2 linked regions of the Caenorhabditis elegans genome follow. The protein of the gene in region 1 interacts with the protein of each later gene in a pairwise test. Each region holds a gene or a part of one and is shown in the gene's direction. Other genes may lie near its edges. The genes, in order: lin-17 and cam-1.

Evidence for each region.
Region 2: the proteins of lin-17 (region 1) and cam-1 interact in a protein complementation assay, tested with the Caenorhabditis elegans proteins (one study listed by BioGRID).

What each region holds. Positions count from the first base shown.
Region 1 is NC_003279.8:2,705,758-2,710,892, forward strand, and holds the start of lin-17 (Frizzled-4), read left to right. Parts: upstream 1-1,841; 5' UTR 1,842-1,871; coding exon 1,872-1,937; intron 1,938-2,344; coding exon 2,345-2,449; intron 2,450-4,161; exon of another isoform or gene 4,162-4,162; coding exon 4,163-4,309; intron 4,310-5,135.
Region 2 is NC_003280.10:9,307,106-9,312,032, reverse strand, and holds the start of cam-1 (Tyrosine-protein kinase receptor cam-1), read left to right. Parts: upstream 1-1,728; 5' UTR 1,729-1,731; coding exon 1,732-1,808; intron 1,809-4,927.

The sequences.
Region 1 (5,135 bases):
AAAACTAATTAAGTTACAGTGGTTTTTACAGGCGTGTGAGAGAGTGAGAGGTCGCAGACGCGCGAGAGTGTCTGCTTTCTCTGCGCTCTCTCATCTTTCAGTCGCTGGACTAAAACCCCCGTAACTCAGTGAGCTTTAGAGTGAGAGACACAAAAAGTAGATTTTCGGAATCAGCGGAAAATTTCTGTTTGAGGAACAAAAAGTTGTAAAATTTGGGAATTTTTTTAGTAAATCTTCTGAGGCCTAAACTTATTTTCCAGCCCATTGACGATCTCGTCTCCAATCCTCCCATTAGTCCTTATTTGCATTTTTACCTTTTCAAAAACTTCTCCACCTCAACCTCCTCCGTCTCCATCTCTCTTCTTCATTCTCCGTTCATCATTGTCCAGATGTGTGTGTTCGTATCAATTGCCCCTTCTTCTTCTTCTGATACATGTGTCGTATACACATACAATTGCCTATGACACGGGTCTCTATGTCATAAATCTCTTAAATTCTACAGCCCACCCTCCTCCTCCGACATCATCGATCGGGTGGTGTGCGTCTTTTCTCCATCTCCCCTTCTATCCACGAAGAACCTAATAAATCAAGACATTAAGAAAGAAACGGAGATCTTTCTGTTTGAGATCCCTTAGGCTCGCCCACTAATTTGACGTTGAAATATTGTCTCGATTTTGAGCCGCCTGAATTCCATCTTTTTGAAATTTTAGGCCTTTTTGAATTTGAATTTGAATTTAGTATTTTTCTTTTTTTTTCGTTTTTTCCGGATTTTCAGACTTTTCTATTCTGTTGAAAACTGGAGAAATCTACAAACTCCCCTGATGGCCGAGTTTTCCATTTTCAAGGCCACAAAAACATTATTCAAATTCATCGAATTTCTAGGCTTATCTAAAAAGTGATATGCATGTCTTTTTAGATACTCAATCCCCATTCAAATTTTTTGAAAATTCATTAACTGGGAGCCTGGCCTGTATTGGACGTGGCCTAGAAAAATATTTAGTGGCCGAGTTTTTTCTCCAGATTTTTGCAACAATTTTCACTGTAATTTGAGTCAAAATATTTTTTTTTAATTTAAAATATTCAATTTAGGCCTAAGTTAGGTAAACGCGCTCCACTGAGAAATAACTATGCAAACGCGCTTCGTTGAAAAATGGTGCAAATGCGCTTCATCGGAGAAAAATACAAAAATGTATTCCATCGAAGAAGATGATGCAATTGAGCTTTACTATGCAAATGGGCTCCATCGGTAAGTACAGAAACATTTTGATTTTCGGTGTTTTTTCGTGCCCCTTTTGTCGCATTGGGATTTGAAAAGATGCCTATTTCTTCCCGAAAAAAAGTTTCTTTCAAAATTTCTAGGTCCCACCACGAAGTTCATAAGTCCCACGGATTTTGGGTCTCATCACGAAAGTTTTGTATTAGGTAATCTACTAACAACTTTTTATAAAAGCACATCAAACCCAAATAGTGACCACTGATAGGGGGCGGAGCCTAAATCAGCCAACTAGAGAGCACGAGACGCAGCACACACCGTGTGTGTTTGTGCAGACGTCTTCCTTCTATTCTTCTTTCTCCATTACTCTCTCTATATGCTAACCAGACGGGTGCTGCTTCACCAGGAGCCTCTAATTTTTTTTCTGGGTTTGGTATGATTTTTCTAGAGCTTTGAAATTTTTTTAAAACCAAACTATAGATATTTTTCCCAAAATTTCAATTTTCCCATGGACCACTTTCCATTTCTCTTCTCCTGTTTTTCTTCTGTTCTCCGCTCCTCTCAACTTTAGTATTTTCTCGTTTTCGCTCCTCAAAATTGACTCTAATTATTCCGTAACTTTTTGAAGGCTCCTCGAGAGACTGGCTCCTTCTCCAAAATGATGCATTCTTTGGGCATCATTCTACTATTTATTCCACTCGCCACAGGATCAATTTTCGATCAGGTAGACTTATTGGAAATCTGAAAAATCGATGCACCATGCCTTTAAAAAATTGCACTAAACTTGCGCGTCAAATCGGATGTATTTGATGCTTTGCCCATCCGTTGCACCATGTTTTCAAATTTTCGATTCACCATAAGCCTACGACTTCTGTCCTAAACTTGCGCGTCAAATATGGTGCACCGGGTGAGTCACTTGAAAAGTCGATGCACCTTGATCTCTGTTATTAAGTTTACAGTTTACAAAACTTGCGCGTCAAATATGGTGCACCCGGTGCGTCACCCATATCCTAAAAAGTTGATGCACCATGTTTTAATGCACTATGGTCATTTAGTGAATTTGTCCGTCAAATCTGGCGCATCTAGTCGTGCCACTTTCCTAGATTAAACACCAATTTTTCAACTTTTCAGGCGGTGAAAGGGAAATGCATTCCGATCGACATTGAGCTATGCAAAGACCTGCCCTACAACTACACATATTTCCCGAATACCATTCTACACAACGATCAACACACGGTAAGCCCCCTTCACCAATAATTTCCATATTCTATCAATTCCTGAATCGGGTGATTTGCATAGAGGAATGGAGAATGAGGGAAAAGTTAAATTTTCAAATTGGTGTCCCATTCCCAGTCACACACAGAAAAGAGGGAACCGACTGACGCTGGTCGCCGCCGCCGCCCGCTAGCGGCAACTTCAAAGAGCCCCTGGTCTCGGCCAAAAAGTCTGCGCACTGGCCGGTGCACACGCTCTCTGGCCATCGCCCATCTCATCAACATGGACAAAAATACGCGAAAAATAAATGAGACAAAAGGGGGATGAAATGAATAGGGGGAGAGGTACGGTCAAAAAATATATGGTGCCGCGGGAAAGATTAACTCCGTTTTTTTTTTTTGGGAAATTGGAAATGGGGATTTTGGCCTATTTCAAAAAAATTTTAATTGCTGCATAATTTATCATGGCAGAAGGAGTCAGGTGTCAAAATTTTAGGACATATTTTTTAGGACATTCTAGGCCCAAATTTTAGTCTAAAACTTTAGGCCAACATTTTTTGTCCAGAATTTGGTCTGAAAATTCAGGCCAAACTTTGAGCCCAAATTTTCAGACAAGTTTTACGCAATATTTTTAGGCCATATTTTTAGGCCAAATTTTTAGACAAAAATTGTAGGTTCTAGGCCGCATTTGTAGGTCAACATTTTCCGTCCCAATCTTGGTCCGAAAATTTTTGTCAAATTTGAGTCCAAAGTTTTAGGCCAAAATTTATTCAAATTTTTAAGTAAAAAATTGTAGGTTTTTGGCCACATTTTTAGTCCATATTTTATTCAAAACTTTCAAAAGTTTTAGTCCAAAATGTTAGATCAAAACTTTAGGCCAACATTTTTAGTCAAAAATTTTTGGCCAATTTTTTAGGACAAATTTTTTGCCAAACATTTTAGACCCAAATTTTAGGTTCAACATTTAGTCCAATTTTTAAGCTAAAAATTAGGTTTTAGGCCACATTTTTAGTCTATATTTTTATTCCAAACTCTTAGACAAAAGTTTTAATCCAAAATTTTTGTCCAAAATTTTAGATCAAAACTTTAGGTCAACATATTTAGTCCAATTTCTAGTCCAAAATTTTTTGAAAAAAAAAACAATTTTGAGGCTAAAATTTTAGTCCAAAATTAAAGGCGCACACTCTTATTTTGTTTCGAGACCCGGTTAACAAATTTTTGGGATGAAAAGCACACAGTGGGTTGGGGTCCACTCCTCCGGCACGGTGGTTTTTTACTAAAATTTTTTGTTTTTTGTTCAAATCCAAACCCACTCTCTATCCAAATATTGGTTTTACATACAACTGCATTTTTATGACCACACCGGCTAAACGTTTTTCGATAACAAACTGATAAGCGAGGTGACGGCGGCGGCGGAACCTCAAAGGGGGCACCAGCGTCTAAAACATGTTTCTAATTTTGCTCCGCCGCACTTTTTACGACCTCCCGTTCTTCTTCTTCTTCTTTCTGTGCTCTTCCCCTTTTCATCAGATACGCATTTGCATTTCGAAGGGGGGAAACGGGGAGGGAAATGGGTTGTGGAAAAGATCCCCCATACTAATTGCATTTTGGGACCACAACAAAAGAGCCCCGGAGCCCACCCAGTGGAAGGGATTTCTATACAATACAAGGGTGCCGGAGAAAACATTTTTAAGGGTTTGGACCGGAAATCCTAAGAAAAAATTCGTACTTTCAGCTTCAAACCCACACGGAGCACTTCAAGCCGTTGATGAAAACAAAATGCCATCCACACATTCACTTCTTCATTTGCTCCGTTTTTGCTCCAATGTGCCCGATTGGAATGCCACAGGCCGTGACAAGCTGCAAATCCGTTTGCGAGCAAGTGAGGAAGAAAGTGGCCGAAGTTTTTATTTGGCGGCCACGTAGTAAAAGTGGAAAAATATTGGGATGGGTCAACTTTCGGACAAGTAGCTTTTTAGGGTTTAACAGAAAATCCAAAACTTTCCGAAATGAAAAAATTTTTCTCAATTATTTAATTTTGCGAAAAAATTTTCAAAAAGTTTTTAATATTTTTTCATATTTTCTTTAAAAATTTAGTTTTTAGAAATTGGCAAAATAATTTTAAACAGTTCTATAAAATCCAAGTTCGAGCCAAAAATCTAGAAAAGTAATAGCTAAAACTGACAAAAAAGAAAGTTCGCTTGTCCGAGAGGACTACACAAACCATAAGTCTCTGTTTTTTCGGGCAATTTTTTAAAAACTGTTTTGTCTTGTCAAAAGTTACATGAAAAAGGAAAAAATCGTCTAAAACCCGAGAAAATCCCTTGAGGGGTAATTTGAAACGGGGGATGTGGAAACGCGAAAATTAGAATAGGAGAGGGCTAATTTTTTTTGAGAAGGTTTAAATGGATTTTGTGAAATTTTGCCATTATTCTACAAATTATCATATTACAATAACAGAAAACTTACTTCCTAGGCTTAAACTAGGCAAATCCTCCGCGTTTTCGCATCCCCCAAATCTAACATTCCTCTAAGAGACCTCACGCTTAATTTTCTGATTTTTACGTCATTTTTAGCAGATTGTAACCAGAGCCTGTCATAATGTTACCGTAATGTCTTAAAATTTCCTTTTTTTCGCAAAAACCGCTCGATGCACCATGTTTCAAGCCAATTAACTCCACTTTTTTTGCAATTTCTTATTCTCGAAT
Region 2 (4,927 bases), on another chromosome or scaffold:
TTTTCTTCTCCTACGGCTACTTGTTGTCCATTTTGATTATAATCGTCTATTTCTCTCATAGCTCCTTGTGCTCAACGCCTAATCCTCTTCTCTGCTTCCAACAGCAGCATAAACAAATTTTCACACTCAAGGACCCGCTTCTTGAAATTTCTCTCTTCTACATTCGGTGAACACAATTCTGAAGCAGCACGAGCAGGAGCATGCACTTACTTTCAAATTCTATAATAATCATTTTGCGTTTCTCTTTTTATCCGATTTACGCTCTCAGGGATGAATGCTCCAGTGTATCTAGGATTTTGAGAAACATATACAAAATTAGCTCATGCTGAAGGTTTCGAAATATCTACTGCAGATCACACATGTTTTAGGAACATACATTTTGGCCAATTTGTTTATATCTACCGTATCATTTCTAATAAAATTATTGTAATCATTTACACGTTCTGAAAGTTTTTTAATCGACCTGAAAATATTTGTTCACATAGTCGAAAGGTTTGGAAACCTGCCCATGAATTTACGAACGTTCATTGGACTTTCTGGACATGTGACAATTTTTCAATAATTTAATTAGAAGATCCATGATCTCATATTTTGTGCAATATATAAATGTTTTCTCTGAAATTTAGCTGTTCTTCTTCGAATGGGACTCTCCCAGAATTCCCGTTTGAAATTCCATTCAGAACATCAACAGGAAGCATATCATTTGGTTTTCTCACGTTATTTCCGGAGTTTGTTTTGGACCTTGATTTTCAAGTATAAATTGGGATTTGGTTTCTAGTATTAAAATGACAAAGTGAAATATTAGAAAAAATATTTGGAAATAAAATCATGCAATTAAACATTTTAAGAACACCATTTTAAAAATTTTACAGTTGAGTTTTTTGATGGGTGAAACACCTAAATTTTTGACAAACTTTCGTCATAATTCCACTTTCTTACTTTTAAAATAAGTGACAATCTAGTGTATATCCAGCTGTGTCAGGAAACTCAATTATTTTCCAAATTGCTTTATAAGCCTTATTAGACAGGTGTGAAAACCCGTGTATTACTAAAATTGCATGAAAGAATGCTCATCTTTTCTTCTCTAAATCTCTTTTTCATTCAATTTTCTTCCATTTTTCATCACCAACTCTTTCTTCTAACTCATTGCTTCACAACTCTTCGTGCTCCTGCTCATTTCTCAGTCATCCATCACATTTATTTTACATGCAAAATGAGTGGAAAAGCGCATCAAAATGTGTACTACTAATATGAAAATGACTTTTTTCCCGTCTCTTTTTGTACTTCATCCTCAATTCATTTCGATTTGAGAAAAAAAGTTTCATTGGTGGTCCTGAAAGTTGTCATCTAATGAAAAAGACCTGCGTCTCTTCTGGAAATGAATTCAGAATTAGAAGAGAGAAAAGTTGTCGAATTCATGACTTAAGAAAACTGAAATTCTATACTTTTTCTTAAATTTCCTCTCAAATTCTCATGATAAATTCTGCGATTTCTGAAATCTCACCTGCCATTTCTCAACTTTTTTTTTAGCCGGCTTAAGCTTTATACTTCAATTCAACTTTTGCTTCACTGAACTTTATGAATTTCTGTTTTTTTAAAGTAATATTTGAATTACCTTTTTTTATGTTACTGGTGCTGAAATTCTCGATTCGAATAAATTTTTGAACTCTGTATATTACCATCTCGTTCCATTTTTTAATTTTTATACCCTAAATCTTGAATATTCCAGAAATGTCTCCCCGACCAGAAGACGACGATCTCGTGATAGAACCAGCCGACGATGAGGGTCTTCACTACGGAAATGCATCGTGAGTATTACTGTCTTTTGATACGATAATTATAGTAATTAGATACGGGTGGTAGAAACTGTAGCTGCCTATTTTGGCAACAAACGGTTCGGTTATTTACTATCAGATTAAATGAATATGGGTCAAATACAAGTAGTTTATTAGATTGCCTCAAAAACACAAAATGCTTAAATCTAGTGAGTCTATAGATGTACAGTTTGCTGACTACAAAAATTTTTAACGACCTCTAAAATGCGCGTCCACCTCTTGGCGTATAAAATATAAACTTTAAAAGCATTTAATCAGTTCATATAGATTTTCATATATGTTCATATAGATCAGTTCATATAGATTTTCAAAAAATGTATTTAAAATAAACCCAATTACTTCTTGATTTCTGAATAAAACCATATGGTTACCGCCATCCGTTCCCACATTCATCAAGCTCGCCCGATGAGTATTATGCAGTATGTGATCTTCACCGTTAGAATCTTGATTATAAAAATAATGTTCAATGGGAAATTTTTCTGCAATTCTCCCTCCACCCAACTTATTATCTTCATTCAAAATCTTGAAAACTTCCGTCGTGTCGACTTCCCATTTTTCATCTTTTTGACAAGTTTGCAACTTGCGATTAGTTTTAGCGCAATTTTTATTAGATTTTGAGTTAAATTAATTGCTAAAGGGGTCAACTTCGAAAGTGATTTATTTCAAATTTTTGTGAATTTTAAGTAGCTAATACTTTGTCAATATCAAAAATCAAATCGTTATGAAAATAATTTTTGGCTCGATTTTTGCCTAAGTTATTTTAACTTGTTAAAAAAATTGACAAACTTTATATAGTGCTTTTAGGCAAAACGTGGGCAGAAGCTGAAACTCGCTCAATTTTTTCCATTTTTCGAGCAATACTTGGATATGGTCTCAGTCAAGTGTTACAAATTTTTTCGCCAGTTTTGTATTTTTAAGAGAAAAGTTGTGTAATATTTTGGTGCCAAATGCCGATATCTCACATTTTTGATGAATTTTGGTAATTAGATATAACATCACGATCCAAAATTTTCCGTTAGCACCCATTCTTTTGGAAATTTCAATTATTATTTTTTCATCCATATTTTGTACCACTATAGAGCATCAAAATGTCATTCCGGATGCGGAAATTGGGTTAACTGACACAAGCTCATTTCCCTCAAACAAACGGAGTGACATGCCCATATAATGGATGACCATTCTCCCACCTCTTCTGTTCTACATATTGCATAATCCACTTGACACCTATATACATCCACCAACACCCGGACGTCTTCCTCCTCTTTCACCCATACAACGGACCACCCCCACCCTAACCGTGACCATCTCCTCTCTCTCTCTCTTTCCCTAATATCTGACAAAACGGACTGACCTCTGCCTTCTTTCCTACTGTCAGTCATCCCCTGTGTCTCTGCGTCTCATTGAATCAGTATACTATTTCTCGGGGATTCTGTCGAATGGGCCCTCCCCGCCAAACGCGCTCCGCACATTCATCCGACGGATGGACTACTCGATTTATAATTTATTGGCCTTGTAATGATGACACATCGTAAAAAAGAAGTTAATTTATCACTATTTATTAGTTTCTTTTTCTAATTAATTTATAACTTTCGAATCATTTTTGAACGGTTTTTAGTGATTAGAAAACAGTTTGATTCCAATATTAAGGTCTTATTACTAATCTATAATAGGCATTTTAATACTAGCTTGATTTAGTCTGCTTAATCCTAAATATCGTTCAGTCAATCCGCACTTCTCCTCCCCGGAAATGAAATATTCCTAAACTTGAATTAGCTGAATTTATCTTGAATTTTTATTTTGGTTTCTAGGTTTAGTGTACTAAAATCCTGGAGATAGTTTTAAACAATCTTACGGTTTTTAACAAACCTCCATATTTTGCCATTTGGAGAACTATTCTTTAAGTGCGCAAGATTTGTTTCCACAACTTTTAACTAAATTCTAAATTATTTTTATATCTTCAGCCTCACATGTAGAAAAATTTGTCAAAACTTACTTTTTTATATTCGTTATCAAATCTCTTATTTTTCTTCTTCTCTTATCACCGATTCCATTAATTTGACCTGACAGCCGAGCATGCGTTCCACATCTTTTACGTCATCTATCTATTACCATTCCATCTTCTTCCCGTATTCCAAAACTCCCTTCACACCTTTTGTCTATACTTGTTTCCCAGGCTCTGTCAGTATATTTGCAATTGGATCAATATCCTATTACTCCTGAATAGGCTAATGGAACTCGCATTTCGATGCGAATAATAGTCATTTAGGTGGGCTATTATTACTGACTAGTGAGTCTCGTGTTCAGGTTTAGATGAAATTTTGTTTTGAGGCAAGGTTATACCTGATAGAGCATTTTTGATTTCGAAATTATTTTGCTCAGACTGAACTATTTCCATTTCTTTCAATGGGTGGCAAACTGCAGTTAGTCAATTCACAGTCAACTTTCTTCAGGCACAGAAAAATTGAGTGATTTTTTAAATTTTCATATTAACAATTCCACCAATTGCAAGTACACCCAACAACCGAAAGTGATTGTAAGATCAAAACATTGGGTTGAAAAGTGTTTGTATCTATCTCGGTCTCTTCTTCTGTAGTAAATTGTGCCTAACACACTGTTTCAATGTTTGTGATCCACTTTCCAATTCCGTTCTCATCATCATGTTTATCCTTGTCGGTAGTCGGCTTTTACTGGCTCTCTGTAGAGACTGTGATGATCTTTTATAGGAATTTGTGATTTGTTTGGACAACTTGGAAGTCAATTTTTTAAACTTATACTCCCTAGAAAGATTATTTTCAGAAACTTCTTAGTGTAATTTTTCTTATGTTTCTATTATAGTTGCCCAAAAAATTTCAACACCAAAAAACTACATTGCTTGATTCCAAATTTGAAAATTCGAAATACAAGTCACATACACACTCTCAAATTTGGCACCATGAGCCCATTCTCCATCTCTCTGTGACTCTTCGAATTTCCCCATGTTCTTTAGTTCATTGCAACTCCATCAATCTTCATCATTATTTCAACTATTTACGCGCCCCCAAGTCTCGCACACACACGGACAACTTTCGTGATTTAGTGAGTGAGCACAGGGT